4 linked regions of the Arabidopsis thaliana genome follow. The main gene of each other region encodes a partner of the protein of the gene in region 3 in a complex. Each region holds a gene or a part of one and is shown on either strand. Other genes may lie near its edges. The genes, in order: HAI2, CIPK16, CBL1 and SIP3.

What was found.
Region 1: CBL1 (region 3) and HAI2 share a complex: the UniProt entries of both Arabidopsis thaliana proteins name them as parts of the K(+)-channel calcium-sensing kinase/phosphatase complex.
Region 2: CBL1 (region 3) and CIPK16 share a complex: the UniProt entries of both Arabidopsis thaliana proteins name them as parts of the K(+)-channel calcium-sensing kinase/phosphatase complex.
Region 4: CBL1 (region 3) and SIP3 share a complex: the UniProt entries of both Arabidopsis thaliana proteins name them as parts of the K(+)-channel calcium-sensing kinase/phosphatase complex.

Annotation. Positions count from the first base shown.
Region 1 is NC_003070.9:2,280,246-2,284,617, forward strand, and holds HAI2 (highly ABA-induced PP2C protein 2), read right to left. Parts: upstream 2,584-4,372; 5' UTR 2,412-2,583; coding exon 1,908-2,411; intron 1,815-1,907; coding exon 1,503-1,814; intron 1,419-1,502; coding exon 906-1,418; 3' UTR 501-905; downstream 1-500. UniProt on the Arabidopsis thaliana protein: Involved in the negative regulation of the K(+) potassium channel AKT1 by its dephosphorylation, antagonistically to CIPK proteins (e.g. CIPK23). Functions as a positive regulator of abscisic acid-mediated cell signaling during seedling growth.
Region 2 is NC_003071.7:10,669,896-10,674,883, forward strand, and holds CIPK16 (CBL-interacting protein kinase 16), read right to left. Parts: upstream 2,998-4,988; 5' UTR 2,716-2,997; coding exon 2,015-2,715; intron 1,356-2,014; coding exon 647-1,355; 3' UTR 515-646; downstream 1-514. UniProt on the Arabidopsis thaliana protein: CIPK serine-threonine protein kinases interact with CBL proteins. Binding of a CBL protein to the regulatory NAF domain of CIPK protein lead to the activation of the kinase in a calcium-dependent manner.
Region 3 is NC_003075.7:9,814,461-9,819,856, reverse strand, and holds CBL1 (calcineurin B-like protein 1), read right to left. Parts: upstream 3,504-5,396; 5' UTR 3,247-3,503; exon of another isoform or gene 3,111-3,246; intron 2,871-3,110; exon of another isoform or gene 2,839-2,870; 5' UTR 2,716-2,838; coding exon 2,637-2,715; intron 2,223-2,636; coding exon 2,140-2,222; exon of another isoform or gene 1,877-2,139; coding exon of another isoform or gene 1,841-1,876; coding exon 1,781-1,840; intron 1,677-1,780; coding exon 1,568-1,676; intron 1,478-1,567; coding exon 1,425-1,477; intron 1,305-1,424; coding exon 1,224-1,304; intron 1,128-1,223; coding exon 834-1,127; 3' UTR 504-833; downstream 1-503. Other genes in the region: AT4G17616 (Pentatricopeptide repeat (PPR) superfamily protein), read right to left, coding at 1-249; AT4G17610 (tRNA/rRNA methyltransferase (SpoU) family protein), read left to right, coding at 4,947-5,102, 5,188-5,281, 5,369-5,396. UniProt on the Arabidopsis thaliana protein: Acts as a calcium sensor involved in the signaling pathway during growth and development and in response to abiotic stresses. May function as a positive regulator of salt and drought responses and as a negative regulator of cold response.
Region 4 is NC_003075.7:15,065,269-15,069,727, forward strand, and holds SIP3 (SOS3-interacting protein 3), read left to right. Parts: upstream 1-1,759; 5' UTR 1,760-2,131; coding exon 2,132-3,457; 3' UTR 3,458-3,915; downstream 3,916-4,459. Other genes in the region: AT4G30970 (uncharacterized protein), read right to left, coding at 3,998-4,042. UniProt on the Arabidopsis thaliana protein: CIPK serine-threonine protein kinases interact with CBL proteins. Binding of a CBL protein to the regulatory NAF domain of CIPK protein lead to the activation of the kinase in a calcium-dependent manner.

The sequences.
Region 1 (4,372 bases), on a different chromosome or scaffold from region 3:
TGTATGGGTCATCTATTTGAAGCTTAATATATCCTTGTCTCATTTTTCTGTATCAAGTTTAGATGTTGCGCTACCAAATTTTTGGGTAGGTTATAGCCTTATAGGATTCAGATGAAAATATAATACCCCAAAATTCTCGGCCCAAATGCTTTGGGAGTGTTGGTTCGATTTTCCTTCTTAATAAAATTCTTACATTACATGACAGGTAAGTTAATTTTGATTTTCCATCAGACCAGTGATCATGTTTAGATAAAACAGTCTGATTAGGTTCATATTCAGATCTCAATCAATTACCCGACACCGACACCGACACGTACGAATGCGCATATTAACATATGCATCGTTCCGGTGTGTCACATCCTCTTTACGTGGTGTAGGGTTTCTACTTTTACCTCTTCGACACGTACTCCGTCCTCTTCCCAATTATCTTCTCTCTCTTTTCGTTTCCGTGAGATTTTGAATTTCTTCCAACACCAAAAAGGCCCACTCGTTTATAGAGATTTTAAAATCTTTATCAACAAACTGAAAATTCCCGGTGATGTTCTCAAAGATCACCACGCGTATCCGAGTTAATTGGTTTGCTTTAAAAGCCAAGAAAACATATACATACTTTTTTATTAATTGAATTCTGAACTGATTCCACCTAGACAGTGACACATTCCGGCTTCCTTTTCTGTTTGTTCATTACACACCGAAAAAAGGCAAGAAAAAAAGGTTCAGAACAAAAAAGACCCAACCATACCCGGTTTAACCGCTTTCAGTAAACCGGGGTTTTTTTTTTAGACCTAATGCTTTTTTTTTCTCTCTTTTGGGTTCAAAGATTTGAGCTACCTTCGTCCCAAGGTAAAAGAATCATTTTAAACAACACAAAAAACGGTGGAGTAAGAGTGATGAGGAGATTAGTGTCAAGCAACGTGTCTCTTTCTTCTTCTTCTGAGATCAATAACGACGACGCTTACGTTGTCACTACTGTGTTTTGCCAACGCCAGCTTCGTCAGCAATACTGACGCCTCCGTACATGCTTTGTCCGTGATCTCTCCTCTCTTCCCGTTCTTTCTTGACCCCACCACCTTCTCCTCTTCTTCTTTCCCTTCTTCTTCACTCCTCCTCCCCGGAGTCTGTGTTTCTCCTCGCCGTCTTCCACGACCACTTTTTCTGTTGAGACACATGCGCACCATCGTACACGCTGCCTCGTTCGTCACTACGTCCCATAGCCCGTCCGTCGCTAGAATCAGAAACTCATCTTCCTCAGTCCGATCCGTAACCGTCACTTCCGGCTCCGAAGTGACGTACGGTTTTAAATAATTGTCTCCTATGGCTCGTGACATGGCTAAAACGCCTAAGACTCTTGCACCGTCCCAGTATATCACTCGTCCTCCTGCTTCTTGGATTCGATCCAGCTCATCCGGACGATCAGGCTGTTCATTTTCAAACGTAAACAAGAGTTAAAATCCACTAAATCAAACAAATCAAGAAAGAGTTAGAAAGAGATAAAGACTGACCTTATGATCTGTAGAAAGAGGTACTGCTTTACCATTCCTACAAAGAACTGCTCTTGAGTCACCGCAATTCGCAACAATGATCTTCTCCGGCGTAATGACGGAGACAACGGCGGTGGATCCAACAGCGTCACAGTCCGGCGTTTGAAGCTCACACCTACAATTAGCACTCATCACAGTTTCACCCCAACGAACAACCTCTTTGTCCATACGTGTGAAGCTACGCTCCATCATCTTCTTCCATTCTTCTTTCTTATCCGACAACGCTTCTTCTTGCACTAACTCGTGAAGTCTCTCTTTACACCTAGCCGCAACCTACAAAAACGACATCGTATATTTCAATCAGGCAAAACCGTAAATATATCAATAATTTTGAAATTTTCAAATTAGGGTAAAACGGCGTCGTACGTGAGAACAGCCATGGCCGTCGTAAACACCAAAATAGTGCCATCTTGTTCGAGAAAACTCCGTTTGTTTCCGTACAAAAGACGGATGTAACGCAACCGCATCTTCCATATCTCTTCTTCTCCCGCACACCGATGCGACGCCGTATCTCGGCCTCAGATCCGTCTCTTTAACCGTCTTCTTCGACGGAATAACTGCAACATCATTAACCGATGAATTTCCATCGGAGATAGAGACGTCACTGTCTTCAAGTGATACACTCTCTTCTTCAGGAGAGCTTTGAGAAGGTGACGACGATGCACAGTTCATAAAATCGTACTCTTCTTGTTTATTTCGCTTATTATAAATCCCTTCAGATTTATCCTCCTCCTCCGTCGTCGACGCCGTGGGATTCATCTCCGACGGAGACATCCTGAATCGCTGGACACCGATCCTCCACTTCCGGCTAGACCACAACGGTCTTGATTCACAAGCCGACGTCTCGTCTTCATAACAAATATCCGCCATAACTCGATCGCCGCCTCTACTAAATATTCCGGTAACGAATCTTTTGAACGTCAATTAATTTCCGACGAAATATCTCTCTCCAAAATTTATTTTATGTTTATTACAAAAACAAAAAAAGAGTCGAATAGTGTTTCTTTTTTTTTTGGTTATACCACGCAGTTGAATAAATATCATCGTTACACGTTACAAAGCGTGCCCATTTATATACCCATGCGGCCTACCGCTTCATTAAACATTTTAAAATTCCTTTTTCTCTTCCTCGTTTTCAAATTACTTTTAACTTTTGATTTTTCTCCCTCCGCCTTCAAAAAATCTTTTACTCTAGCGACGTGACGTGTTGGTCTTTCGTCTAAATTAGAATCAATCTTGACCGTTGATCTGGTCACTATAGTATCTAGAAATGGACCACGTAAGCATCACGATCAGGTGGAGATATACGTGGCCCAATGACAAGGCAACAGAGGGGAGGAGGAAGTTCCTTTCGCGCCACGATTGTGGTCCACTTCTTTCTCAGGAAGACCTTTTTTGTCCAAATTGTCTCTGTGTCTCCCTTAAAGATAAAATATCTATCTAATCAACGATTTTTTAATTTTAAAGAATCCCATTACGTTAGTTAAATTTTTATTGTAGTTAACCTTAATTTGATCTAAATTAGGTCAACTTTTCAAGACTAACGAATTAAGTACGAAATTGTATACAGCGATTTTGCGATCATCTCATTAAAGAATTTATATACTGTGAACTAAAATTAGGTTACACTAAGACACGTACGTTAACTTTTCATATGAAAATTCTTTAGTTTTGTTTTTATGTAACCTTTAACATCATATTACGTTATTTCGGTTAACACTTAAAAGGTGCTTGGGAATTGTTTAGCTAAATCCTCTGTAGGCTGGTTTGGACTAAAATTTCTAACATATTAAGACCAGAGCTTTTTGTAGTGTTAAAAAAAAAAAAAAAAAATCTAACATCATAACTAATGATTTTGATATGAAAGCTTATGATATTTTTTACCAAAATATGCTTGTAATATTTTTGTCTTGTCGTGTTTAAAACATTTGCAAAGAAAGTGTACTAGTAATCTCATACCAAAATCATTTAATTGATATATAAAATAAAGTTATAACCATTTACCTAATTAAAAATGAAAGAAGTAGCGTGCATATATCCATAATTTTATCCGGATCTCCTATAAATTAATACATTGATTCGTTGCAGAAGTTAAGATTGAATTCAGAGTACTAATACATCATTTTTGAATCAGACCAAAAAGATTCTCAGCACTCAAAAGCATTGCGTTCAGCATTTAATAATAATTATAGTTAGAGTACGTACGGAGAGAAAGAAATTTAACTATAACGTATATAAGATTACAAATACAATCATGAATTTAAGTCCAAATCTGTCTCCATCAATTGGATTTGATATAAGCACCAGATCAGCTAGATTTCACGCAACTAAATCTCATCTGTTTAATTACCTGTAAAGCTGTAGTTACATTCATGATTACCTAAATAATCCTCGAGTAATTAAAAATTGAGGCCTCCCTAAAGTCACTATGAAGTAGAAAGTGAAAAATGAAAAAGCCGTACAGAGGACACGTAATTGTCTTGGAATGAGGAGTTATATTGTTAACCGTTAAAAGCCACAAAACAAAAATAAAAAGAAGATAGAAAAGGCTTTTTGGTGAAGCAGTGGCCCAACCATTTACCTCTACGTTTCTCCTTTGTTTCCATTCCGGCGAGTGGGTCTCACCTCCTTTATAACGGAATCTGAGGGCTCTCTTTTCCTCCACCGTACACGTGTTACCATCGTAGCTCTTATGTTTGGATATTTACCGACTACTGTTGCAGTGAAGTTAGGTCACTTTGTCTCTCACACACTCTACTCTCTCCAGTGAACGATGACAAGCTTTAATGTGTCTCTCAAGTCTCAACTGTAAAAAAAAGAAGCTAATTGGT
Region 2 (4,988 bases), on a different chromosome or scaffold from region 3:
TTTCCGGTTATTGCTTGTATACCTTCTTACATTCTAAGTTGTACTAATCGCTTAATAATTTGCGTATAATGGTAATGTTATATACATTATATTATAAAAATGGTGTTATATATACAATAAGACAATCTCGCTCGCGCACATCCAATCAACAACGATGGAGATGATATTACAAAAAAAAGCATTGAACCCTTCACCTCTTACATTTCAAAGTGTTTATTAAACTAGATTAGTTACAGTTCCTTATGTAAAAATTCAAATATTTATAGTTTAGTGGGTGCACCAACGTGAGTCCGCCCTACTTAATCTTATATACATTATTTTATTGAATTTGAAAAGTAATCCGCAATATAACCCTTGAACGTGTATAGATTTTGTAAACCGTATAAGTTTGTATATAGATTAACAAAACTACTTCGCTTTGAACACTTGAAAAAAAAAAAAAATGAGAAGTAGACTCGAACTAATGACCTATAGAACGTTCATAACATATATAACCAATTTTGCTTCAATAGTTTTTGACAATTGTACAAACCCTCCAAGTAATTTTTATTGTTAATCATAAAAAAAATGTTCTTATACATTTGCAATTTCACAATAAGACAGTCTCGCCTCGCACATCCAATTCCAAAAAGTGAATTATTACAGCTCATGAAACATTATTTATTTTGTTATCATTTGTGTCAACATTATCATTAGTGGTAACATCGTCTTCATCATCATCACCTTGCCATGACCATACAATGTCTTTAAGAGCTGGTCTGACGTCATCCTCACAGAAGAGGTAATACTCCAACGTATCCCCCGAGGTTTTGCAGAACTCCACGACAGAGACTTCAGGAGCGACTTCGAATACTTCCGCCGTCACCGAGAGCCTTCCTTTACGACCTTCTGTTCTTCTTTGCAGCTTCATCTTGCAGTCTTTTACATGTTTCACTCTCATATCCATCTCACGCGCCGCCGTCTCCAGCCTCTCTTTAACAGATTTCGCCGGGAACTTCGATGTGAACATCCGCTTTGGCTTTCGTTTTATCTCGAATAGGTTAGAGAGATCGAAACCTGAAGACATTGATGTGATGAATTGGAAGGCGTTGAAGGATCTTGGTGAAGCTCCGTCGTCTTCTTTCTCGTTTAGGTCTTTCTTCTTTTTCTTTGTTGGTGGCTCCGGTGGAGATGGGATCGTTTCGTCTATCGAAAAGGCTACTGATGGTGTAAAGTTCTTTCGGAACCATGGAATCATTTTGATCTCTGACATTGAAATTCTTTGTTCAGGATCCGGCACAAGCAATCTTGAGAGTAGTTCCTTGGATTCTAAGGAAAACCACGGTGGGAACTCGCATTCCGCCTTGAAGATCTTCCTGTTTATTTCGAAAGGTTCAATCAAACAAGAAACAACAATGAGAATTTGATCAATTCACATTCACATTCAACAATACTAATATTTGAATTTGTAAGAAGAGCACTATTTGAGACCGTTATTATTGGCGGGAGTTTTATAAATTATCTAGTAAAATACGGGACGTGAAATTTTGATAATATAGAACTATAATGAAATATACGATCGACCAACATTTATCGAATTTGATATCAGATTAATGTACCTAAAATACCACCCGAATATTCACAAATTGATAATAGTTTCAATATCTTGGAAAATATTGTATAATTTTGAGTAATTATTAAAATTTGAATTACGTGAACAAATAATTCAAATACTATATATCTTTTCTTTTTGTGTGTGTAAACTTTCAAATAGTATATCTTATATCCAAGTTTTGTATCTATTGGTACAAGTTAAACTGTCTCTTTCAAATAATATTTTATTTAACCAAAAATGATTATTATTTCTTTTTAACATATATAAGTATGTGATGTAAAATTGAGATGCATCTAGAAACCCAACTCAAAATGGACTACTTTGGCTTTTAGTTCAATATTTTTTTGTATCTCACTATTCGTCAAATAAATAACAAAAACAAATACGGTTTGGGCCAAAACCTGGTCAAGAAATACTTACGTGTACAATGTCATGACGTTTTCGTCGATAAACGGCAAGAAGCCAGCAAGGAGTGCATACAAAACAATCCCGCACGACCAAATATCAGCCATAGCTCCGTCGTATCCTTTATTCCGTAAAACCTCCGGCGCCACGTAAGCCGGTGTCCCGCACCGCGTATGTAAAAGATCATCGCTGCTACCACGCCTGCCACCTAGCCCTTCTGGCATCATCAATGCGGAAAGTCCGAAATCCGTTACCTTAAGATCACCTTCTCCGTCAAGCAACAGATTCTCGGGTTTAATATCGCGGTGGAAAACACCGCGGCTGTGGCAAAAATCCACCGCGGATATCAATTGTTGGAAATACTTTCTGGCTAGATCCTCCGGGAGCTTCCCATCTCTATCGATCATTTCGAAAAGCTCTCCGCCGTTGACGTACTCCATGACGAAGAAAATCTTCTTCTTTGTAGCCATTACTTCGCGGAGCTCGACCACGTTTGGATGACGGAGGAGACGCATGACGGCGATCTCTCGTTCGATTTGCTCCATCATGCCACGACGTTTGAAAACGTGGTCTTTTTTGATGACTTTGATTGCCACGTCATCGCCGGTGGAGATCTCTGTTCCGTGATACACTTTGGCGAAGTTACCGGTTCCGAGAAGTCTTCCGATGTTGTATTTGTCGAACAAGACAGTACTACTACGGTTTGATTCTTCCATTGTCTTTGTCTGACTAGTTACAAGTATATGTGAGACTAATTATGTGGAATTTTGTGATTTGGTTACATATCTATATATATAAGCAGAAATTATTTGTGGAATTTTTTTATTTATAATGTTGTCTACTTTGTTTGATATGTGACGACTAAGTGAACTGTGAAGAAATGTTCTAATCTTATCTAAACAAAGTGATGTGCCTAAGATCTGGCAGCTAGCATAATTAAATACGACCAAAGCCAAAAGAATAACCAAGACGAAATTGATTCGCGAATTGAACTAAATCGGGGTTTGCTATTTATGTTGAGTGCCTAAAAAAGGGTTATAGAACATGATAAAACTAGATATAATTAACAAACTAAAGCATGAAAAATAAATATCTCGAGTTACGATGCAATGATCATAAGAGAATGATTTCAATAAAAGTGTAACAGGTGATTTAAATCCATTTCTATGTAAATAAATCCTTTTTTTAACCAGTTAAACAATGGTCTCGCACATTTCTGACCATGTATTCATGTAAATAAGTTCTTAAAGTTTTCAGAATAGATTTTAAAAATATAAAAGTAACTCTCTTATCCTTATACAAAAATTGTGGACGCCATGAAATTGACGTGGAATCGCCGTTAATGCTACGCATGTTTTGAAGTAGATACGCATTAATTAAAAATAGTAAACTTGTCCCGATAAAATTTCAATGAACTGTCTTTTTTTGGTAAGGCAAGATGTGACCTTTTCTACTTGGCCCTTAAATATTTTTAAAACAATTTCTTGACTTATTTTTCATAGAGGAATTTTTAATTTCTTTCGAAAAGCTTTGACTCTTTTCCTAGTTGGGACGATTGTATCGGAAAGTGGTCATTTCTAATACGTCCGTGAATCTATCGACCAAATCTTCCTTTCTACATCTTTGCTAATTTCTTGGTTTGATGGATTCTTCATATTTTGCTACTCAAAACAACACACTCAATTTTTCCAATTGTTTTCTTACAATTTGATGATTTTTCTACATACATGAAAATCTCATTATAACCGTGTATTTGGGTGGGATACTGTTATTTTCCTCTATCATAATCAAAGGTACATCTTGTAAAGCTAAATCTAAATTTTAACAAAAAAAAAAGAAGCTAAATCTAAATTTGTTCGATTTAAAGATCAGGATTATTAAGATAATATATAACTAATCATTTTAAGGAACATGTATAACAAGTCCAAGAAACTTTGTGATGTGTCATGATTTGGACCCACGATTAATGACAACAATTATGTTTACACAAATGTTAATACTCTAACGAAATACTATAACGAGTTTTACCCAAAAAAAAAAAAAAAAAAAAAAAAAAAAATACTATAACGAGATATGTATTTAAAATTGAAGAGTAAAAGGGTAACATCACAAACATAGTACACTATTTTGTGGCTAATTGGGTGATCACAGACATATATCTACTTATCGCGCTGCATTTCCGATTGTTTGTTATTTTCGGGTGATTAGGTTGTCGAAACTAGCTGCTAAAACAAGCCATGCCGTGAATTTTGCATCACATTGATCAGTCAAATTTCAAGCAGTAGTTGATTGGAATATGCCCTAAAGAGTGAAAAGATTTGCAAATCCACCTAAATAAGCCATCGTTTGTGCTGCACATGGTTTAAATGTTGCATTACTTAATTAGAAAACAATTTGATCAAATGCATAGGAGTTCTACTTCGAACGAATCTAAAGATGTTACCTCATCTACCTTATGTTTTCCTGATGATAGAAGACCCCCTTACCTAAAAATGTTGTTCAAGGGTAAACAATAAATACATATATATACATGAGTGTGTGTGTGTGTACAAGCACGATTCATATTATATGTATGTTGCCAAAACCTTTGCTATTTGATGCACAATATGTGATGATGTAAACTTTATATATAAGTACAGAATGTTTGAATGGAGCTTAGACAATTTCTTGAACCAGAGAAAATAAAATAATAATTGGTGTTGTTGATAAAAACTCAACATGCCAAGAAAAACAGATTGCTGAAGTATGGATCTTCAAATTCTATCATTTACATAAATTAAAATGAGTGATCTTGCAAGGAAAAATGTGAAGAAAAATGGAAAATAAGAGTTCTTTGTAAGAAAGGGGAAGTTTTATTGAAATGAAAATATTGAAGACTTGGTAATAAAGAAGAATGCAAAAACCGTGAAGAATCCTACACAATTTTGTCTACTTCTTTTTTTTTTCTTTACTTCAAAAGTACAAAATTTTCTCTACTTTCTGTAGCTTC
Region 3 (5,396 bases):
GAGGCGTTTGAAATCTTTAAACACGTCCCAAGCATCATCTACACGGTGATCTTTAAGAGCTGTTTCTAGCTTCTTCTTGAGAATTACTTGAGAAGAAACTTCCCAGTTTAATCTAGCAGGTTTAACACTAGTACAGAACAGAGACGGCTTTGAGGTGCGACTACACAAGACCCATGAAATTAGGGTTTCTACGTTACCGCTATCGAATCGACGAAATGATTCTAGAACTAAGTTCCGTTTCCTAAACATTAGTCTAGAATTTCGATTCCAAATCTAGAATTTAACAAAGAAAGCACAACAATGACGAGAACATGATAACAACATACGAATTCTCCAATCGAGAAAGAACCCTAAATTGCTGGAAACTTCGAAATCGAGAGAGAAGAGAGGAACACTGTAACAAGAGAAGAGTGGCAAGACTGTAAATTTCATCGGGTCGGGTCCTAGGACATTCGTACTTTCGCTTTTGCGGTTAAGGACCCAACAAAATCTCAAATTCACGTTTTTGCAGTATAAGATTCCATTGGAACAATTAGAACCCCGAGTAAACGTAACAAATCTTTACTTTTTTACTTGAAAAAAAACAATTACAACAAACGTATGATGTAATATGTACAAACTCATTAACATTTCCTAACTATATGAAGTGAAGGATTGGTGATTACGCGCTTCTTCTTTTTTTTTTTTTGTAAGCTAAAAACCCAAAATTTTAAACTGTTGTGAGAAGAAAAAAGTAACCCAAACAATTTCAAGAGAATATGCTCTACTACTGTTTACAAACAGATGTTGATTACACCGATTAGCTCAGACTTGTTCTTCCAACTCGTGGCAATCTACTCGGTCTTAAACCAGTTTGTTTCTTCATGTGGCAATCTCATCGACCTCCGAATGGAAGACAAAACTCGGAAACGTTGTCGTAATATCCCTGCATTGTTTATGTACAAGTTAATATGACATTTCATTTGGCATTTTTCAGTTTTCTTTGGTTTCCATAAAAGGCAATTTGTAATATACCTGAGATATGGAAGAGTCATGATCTTAAGCAATGATGGATTTTTGTTTACGAAATCACTCCACTCTAATTTATCAATTTTTCCATCTTGATTCACGTCTGCATCTTCAAATGTCTGTTCATATATGAGAAGGACGAAGGAAACCACATTAAGAACATCATCTCTAAATGTATACCATCTAGAAAAATAAAGCCTTAGACAACAACAAACCTTATCGAGTATTATCTCTATGGTTTCATCAGCCAGTTTCATTTCAGATTCGCAGAGAAGCGCGATCAACATTTGCTTGACCTGCAAATATATCACATTCATTAACGATTTCTTGCAAAGTTATTAAGTAAAAGATGAATACTCAAGAACATGGCAAAGATCTATCATGACTAGTATTCAAAGCTTGCAAGTTAGTATTACCTCTTGTCGTTCAATGTAACCCGTGCAGTCCATGTCGTAAAGCCTAAACGTAACTGAGAAAAAATGGCAGACCAGAATCAATAAATCTCTTCACAAAAGCTTCAATAAACACCTATATATGAAACTATCTTATGTCAACTTACAATCTATTTTGTCTTCTAGAGAAGCATTGGGGTGGAAAACATTGAGTGATCTTACAAAGTCCCCGAAATCGATGACTCCTTTTCGTTTAACATCAAACATATCAAATATCTGCGGAAAAGCAATATTGTTTAGGATAATGGACATATTATCTTGGTTTAGATCACTCTTCCAGAAGATGAATCTTGTAAAAGCCTGAAGAATTAAGATTTTACCCTATTAGCAAATATATTCTCCCTCTTCCGGCTTTTGAACAAAGCAAGTTGAAACTCCTCCTGCATACATGTGAAGCCAGGATTAAAAAACAACATAAACAAGGTGGGCCATGAAGGCTTCAAAATTCAAAATCAAAGCAATCAATAAAATAAGTTAAGTTCAAGTCAAACATTAAGGGCTACGATACATTGAATCGATGCAATATGGAACAGACATATCGTCATGGAAGAATAATTATTGCTCAAATAAAGTCAACTAAGTTGAAAAATACTGTAGATGAATAGCGTAAAGAACAAAAAGATACAACGATGGGGTCATGAAAAGATCCAAATTGGGTCAAAAGAAACAAACTTTGTACCTTGTTAATCAGACCATCATCAACAACCGAACTGCTTATGCTCTTGAATAGCTCAAATAATGCTTCAACCTCACTCACACTAACTGGAAAAGAGAAAAAAACAAGCAACACTACGAGATCAAAACAAAGAATTACCAGGAACAAACAAACAAACAAACAAAGAGACTAATAATTCACATTTAGAATTTGCATGGAGAGAGAACTCGTCTTGACAAGTTAAGGAACAAGATTAAGGTGATGGTATTGGTAACAAGAAACATGAGATAGAGTGTTAACCAACTTTGAAGGATCATTACTAGAAATTGTTAGGCAGACAAAGACTCCAAAACACAAAACTAAAAAAATCCAAACCGGAGATAAACTAAATCAGTGAACAGAGAAAGAATGATTTGAATCTAACTGATGATTCTCATCTCATATCAGAAAACAAATGAACATGCAGCTTTGAGAGAAATGAATCTAGAGGAGGTTTAAACTTATAGCGCGAGTAAACTTACAAGCTGTCTCAGAGGCAAGCTTAACAGGGTCTTCGTGTCCTCGAAATTCTTTTGCTGCCTTTGAGTGGAAGCAGCCCATTTACAGATGAAATAAGACGATGAAACCTTATACCCGAGCCCCGGATAACGAAGAAAAGGCGGATAAAATCCAACAGCTAATTCAGCGATATCTGAGATTCTATAGCTTGATTGCTACTGTTTACTGCACAATCATCACAAACATATTTTCAAAATCTACACATATGGAAACAGAACACAAACAATGCCATTTCATTAGAAACAAATCATCTAAAAAAATCTTTGTGAAACGTAAAATTGAAAACAGTCTAGAAGAATCTCAACAACTTTGCTCAAATTTTTTTACCATGGAAGAAAAAAGTGTAAACCCTAGCAAAGTAGCATCAATGAAGAAAGAAAAAAAAAACACAAAGTTCTTCGAATCCATAAGATACGGAGATGGAATCAAAATTGTACCAGTAAAACACGATTCGAAACCAGACGATCAATGTAGAAACATCGAGAATTCCACAGGCCAAAAATCAAACTCAAAAAAACGAAATTCGATGGAAATAAAAGAAAAAGATTCTTAAAAATAAGAAGCAACACTCACCACCCAAGAGAAACGGTTCGCCGGCGAGATCCAGAGAGAGAGGAGCTAGAAACAGCAAAAAGAGAGAAAGAGAGAGGAGACGAAGAAGATTGGTGAACGGTGATGGCAAGATGGATGATCGGACGGTTGAGATCGATTATTTATTTTTCTTTTTCCTTTGGAATGAATTTTAGTAGCGCTTATATGATGGCATATTCGCACGTGTGAATCATAGTAAGCGCGTGTGAGACGAGTCAGTTTTGGAAGTTAATAGAATCGGCGTTTAGTTCAGTTTTTTCTGTCGTCATGTAATTTCAGTTAGACCGAACCTAATTGTACCTAATTCCATAGATTGATTTCTGTTATGTTCATTCTGTACTATTTATCTTCTGTCTTTTTTTCTTTTTACAACTTGATTGTTACGTAAGCATACACGATATTTTCTATGTTTCTGTATACTAAGAATGGGAAAAATATTTTTTGGACAAGAAATTCAAAATTTCTTTTGTTTCTTCTAATATCCATTCACTTCCGGAATAAATCAAAGATCCGTCCATTTTATTAGTCAAAATGGCACCTCTTAGGAATATTCTGAATATACGGAATTGGTAACCCTGTATTATAATAACTTTTTATATAGTTAGTTTATTAGATATTTGCGATGCTCCATAATTTGACTAATATGCAAAATGGAAACGCCAATAATAAAGTCTGGGAAACATTTGTCTTCGACTGATCGTGTTAGTGGTCACCATATCTTCTTTTGGTTTTGCTATCTAAAAAAACACAAGTTTTTTAATCCATTAACATTTTTTGTTTCTTTGGTAAAATAAATCCACTAACATATGTGATATTTACAGGGTGCCATTTTAAAACCATAACACTCTTGACAACTGGAAAAAGGCTCTAAACTGTAATTATCTGTTGAAATGGTTATTAACTAAATAAATCAGATCATGAAGCCAAATCTCTACAAGAATCAATTTAATTATAAAGTATTGTGTTTATGAATTAAATATGTCGTAGACCAGTCGGTGTGGAATTAGTACTTCGGTCTGCAATGTGGCAGGCAAACGTTGACATAATTAGGACCTTAATCACGACCAGACCACGTGTTTATCGTTCAAAACAATAATAATAGCGTATATATATTAAATTTCTTGATTATGATTAGTAGCTTTGATTCTCCTGCCGTTAACTCGATCAATTAGAGTTTTATATCATTTTGATATCTTTAAAGCGGGCTTAAATTGACTCTTTGGTCACCGGCCGTGTTGGGAACGCGTCCTCAAAATGTTTTGTTTAATTTGCGTATACTACGGTATTATAATTTTATAAATGCAACATAATAACATCCGGATCCGTGGCGCAATGGTAGCGCGTCTGACTCCAGATCAGAAGGTTGCGTGTTCGATTCACGTCGGGTTCAATCCCCCGAACAATTTCCGGTTTTTTTTTTTTTTTCTTCTCCTGAAGTCTATCCCATACGGCCCAATCATACTAAGTTAAGCCCAAGAAAGCCCTTATCAATAATTCTAATTTCCCCCCTAATTATACGACTAGGGTTTATCTGTCCTAAGCCATGAAAATTATTTGAAAGGGTTTAACAGAGAGATTCCTCGTAACACTTCCCTCTGTACTAATTTCAAATTCGTTTACGTTTCTTCATCTATTCTGGCTGCTTGCAGCCAATTTTTTTGAAGTTCGAAGCTTCAATTGAAATGGGTTCGTCAGTGATTACTTCATTGTCACTGAGCTTCAAGCAAGTTCCACCAGCAGCTATTCCTGCTTTCCTTGACTGTGTTTTAAGCTCCACAGGCGTATCTCCTTCAACTCTTTTCGAATCTCTCATTGAGCAATTCCCTTTTCGTTTAGAGGTATTGATTGATTGGTTTATTGTTTCACACTTCGGCAATTTGCTTCGGATTGTTCAATTTAAGATTTGAACATGTTTTTGAATAGGATACGGTAAATGGGGACAAGAGATTTGATTCTGATGATTGCAACCACATAGCTTCATTGGTGGCTGGGCTTTGTCATCTACTAAAGAATTTTGGTGAGTTACCAATTTTGAATTTTTAGATATGTATGATGTGTTAGTGATTACAGAATTGTTTAATTGATGGTTATGAGGTTGAAGCAGGCTTTGTTGCTGCGGATAATCATAATGC
Region 4 (4,459 bases), 5.3 Mb from region 3:
GTTATTAACATTTTGAAAAGTATATGGAACGACTTATTTGTTGGGCATAACAACTTAATAAAATAGCATATCTAATATTTCCTCTTAAAATGGAACGATTTAAAACAAAAACAAAAAAAATCTTCTCAAAACTCATTAGCTAATTGATTGATTGTAGTAATATAGAGAATCTTCAGCAAACCAAACTTTAGTTATTTACGGACCACATGATAATTATCATATCTATGAATGTTTTTAATTTATATATTCTTGCTACAACATCCGTTTCAAAAATTATAGCCTCAAAATAAACAAGAAAAACTTCACAGTTTATCTACCATCTTCGTGTATAAAAACAAAGAAATGAAGTAGAAAACCCTAGAATCTACACTCACATAATGGTCCACAAGGACCACAACGAATGAAAACAATTGAACACAAATTATAGTAAAGAATCATGGAATCTATGGAAAATTATCAGACCCTACATTAAGACACAACTATTTTCTTTATAAACCTTATGAATTTTTGTAGATACAGAACTTGATTCATTGTATATAATTATGCTATTTCCCTCAATTATCCATATGCATAATGCAATGCAAATGGGTAAGTAGTCAGTTAAACTAAGGGCTTGATTGGTTCTCCCTCTGCCACCCGCAAACGCAGCGTTTGCGGGTGGTAGCGGTTGTTAGCGATTGGCACCAATCATATAAACCGCTAGATATCGCTTTGGACCGCTCGAAATCGCCAGATTTCAAAAGCTCCTTCCCGCAAGCGTTTGCGGTTGCGGGCGGTAGCGGTTAGGTTAAAAAAAAAATTATTTTTATAATTAATTAAAATAATTATATTTTCCACCCAAACCCTATATATCTTATTCTTATTAGAAAACTCTAATAATTAATATATTGTAACTCTATTCTCTCAATTATGGCATCCACCCAAACGGATAAAAATTAAAATCAAAATCAATAATCAAAAGTAAGTATCATATATTCGTTCATCCATTCACGACCAGTTTGATTTTTTTTTGAGTTGGAGATGTGTTATAAATCGTTTGGATATCTTGAAGAAACTTTATTATATGTATAGAGGCAATCTGGAAAATCCGCGAGTTCAACGTTATTTACAGTTTATCACACTATTTGATGTAATTTTTGGTGATGTACCAAATGCATAAAGTATTAAGCTTTTTCTTGCAAAATTTATTTATTTTTGAATTTAATGTTTTATTTACGGTTTTAATTTTTAATTATATTTAATTTTTCTAATATTATGAATTTATCATAATAATATATTATATTTTTCTTTCTTTTAATAGTAATATATTATATTTATTTTGGTTTATTTTTGTTTAATTACTATCACACCCGCTGGTTTACCAGTCATAAAACTCCCGCAAACGCACCCATTATCAAACGTTCAACCAGTCGTTCAAAACGTTTGATAACGCTTGAAACTGCAACCGCCAGTTTCCGCAAACTTCCGCAACCATAACCGCACCCGCTGCATTTTAATCCGTCAGGCCCTAAAAAAATTAATCACTAGGCCGTTAATCCCTATCCGTAATACGAAACACTAGAGGGATAGAATAGTAAATCGCATCGTGACCGGTCATAAAAAGACACGTGTCGTCATCGCTATCCAAATAATTGACAAACTCGAAGCCGCCAAGGGATTGCCGAAGACACATGTCAGTCAGCGAAAGGAGGTTAAACGGTGTAGTTATCACTCCCTAATAAGGGTATCTACGTAATTGCAATGTCGTTAAGATCTATATAAACACTACTCTTTTGCTAGCTCTTATCCGACGGCAAAAGGAGAATTAAGATTTTTAACTTTAAACGAGAGTTTCGTTTATTTACTCAAAAATTTACTTCTGAAATCTCTATTTGAATTTCGGGGAAAAAAATCCTAAGTAAGGGAATGCAGAGAGATGGTCGGAGTATCGCCGGTGAAGACTAAGCTGTGTGATCGGTTTAACCGATCCGTCGGCGGCAGGAATTGCCACCGGAAACACGTCGAGGACGGGTGATCCAGTTTTCTAAACTCTCGTCTCTCGAATTCTTCGAAGATATCGAAAAACTGTAAATCTTTTTTTTCTTCTACTTTTTTACAAAATTCTCTAATCATCGTTGTAAAGTAAAAAACCATGGTCGGAGCAAAACCGGTGGAGAATGGATCTGACGGTGGTAGTAGTACGGGGCTGCTTCACGGCCGTTACGAGCTAGGGCGTCTTCTAGGTCACGGAACATTCGCGAAGGTGTACCACGCTCGTAACATACAAACCGGAAAAAGCGTGGCGATGAAAGTCGTCGGAAAAGAGAAAGTGGTGAAAGTTGGTATGGTTGATCAGATCAAACGAGAGATCTCTGTGATGAGGATGGTGAAACATCCAAACATCGTCGAGCTTCACGAAGTCATGGCGAGTAAATCCAAGATCTATTTCGCCATGGAGCTTGTACGAGGCGGTGAGTTATTCGCTAAGGTGGCTAAAGGAAGACTACGTGAAGACGTAGCTCGTGTTTATTTCCAGCAATTGATCTCAGCCGTTGATTTCTGTCATAGCCGTGGTGTTTATCACCGAGATCTGAAACCGGAGAATCTCTTGTTAGATGAAGAAGGTAATCTCAAGGTGACTGATTTTGGTCTCTCTGCTTTCACTGAGCATTTGAAACAAGACGGACTTCTTCATACAACTTGTGGAACTCCGGCTTATGTTGCGCCGGAGGTTATATTGAAGAAAGGATACGACGGAGCTAAGGCGGATCTGTGGTCTTGTGGTGTTATACTTTTTGTGCTTCTTGCTGGTTATTTGCCGTTTCAAGATGATAATCTTGTGAATATGTATAGGAAGATTTACAGAGGAGATTTCAAATGTCCTGGTTGGCTTTCTTCTGATGCTAGACGGCTTGTGACTAAGCTTCTTGATCCGAATCCGAATACGAGGATTACTATTGAGAAGGTTATGGATTCGCCTTGGTTCAAGAAACAAGCAACGAGATCAAGAAACGAACCAGTGGCTGCCACAATCACAACCACGGAAGAGGATGTTGATTTCTTGGTGCACAAGTCGAAGGAAGAGACGGAGACGTTAAACGCGTTTCATATAATCGCGTTATCGGAAGGGTTTGATTTGTCGCCGTTGTTTGAGGAGAAGAAGAAAGAGGAGAAAAGAGAGATGAGATTCGCGACGTCTCGGCCAGCGAGTAGCGTGATTTCGAGTTTGGAAGAAGCGGCGAGAGTTGGGAATAAGTTTGATGTGAGGAAGAGTGAGAGTAGAGTAAGGATTGAAGGTAAACAGAATGGTCGGAAAGGGAAATTGGCGGTGGAAGCGGAGATATTCGCGGTGGCTCCGTCGTTTGTTGTCGTGGAAGTGAAGAAAGATCATGGAGATACGCTTGAGTACAACAACTTCTGCAGTACTGCTCTTAGACCAGCTCTCAAGGACATTTTCTGGACCTCTACACCTGCTTGAATTTGATGAATTCTTGCGTGTTTCAAATTTTTATGTTGTAATATATATTGTTGGATTCTAGATTCGATTCGTGATTCTTGTTTTTGATTCTTAATGTGGTATCATAGTTTGGATCGTTCAAAAAGTTGTAAGTCTTTTGTGTGTGTTTGAGTCGTGGCCGATATGTTGCGTCACGAAGCAGAGAATGTTGTGTGTGGTGTAGAATGGTGTGTTAAAGATTCCATCATCAACAAATAATAATCATGACTCTTTTAAGAATGTTAAAGAGTCAATTTTTATGCATTCATTCTCATCAAATGTCTTTTTTTTTTTTTTTGCACGTCTCTTCTTACCTTGGATTGATTAGGACATCATCTTTGTTTATGCTGGTCCAATTTGTAGTGTCGTGTTGAATCATGTATATACTCTTCAAGATTCATGTGACTATTGTATTAACACAAGTACTTAAAAAAATTCTGCGTTTTTACTTTATTGAGTCGTTTAGCTTATGCGTTTTAAATTGGTAAGATGAGTAGTAGAATCATCAAGTTAATTCAGTCGCTAGCGATGATAGAGGGCTTGTGGAGTAAGTCGAGTTAGTAAAATCTGTCATATAACAATAGGGATATGATTAGCACAAATGTGACGACGATTGTATGATTAGTGATCAGAGTTTTTTTTTTTTTTTGAATAAAATGATCGTGACAAGTATTCATTGATTTGTTGATTATAAATAATAGTGGAGTAGATGGATTCAGATGAGTGAATAGAATATGAAAAGTAAAAGGAAGATGAGGTGGGCAGCAAAACAAAAGTAGAAGTTACGTGATTGGGATGGATGTTTCATGAACCCGATTAATATTATATTAGTATATATCTCTCTTTTTAATAGAATTCTTAGTATAATCATATCAAACATGTGATTCATTAACGGAGATGCAAACACCAACCCATGATCTGTAACATAAAAAACGAAAAATGAATAACCATCTTTTACTGCCACAACGTTGAAACTGTGAAGGG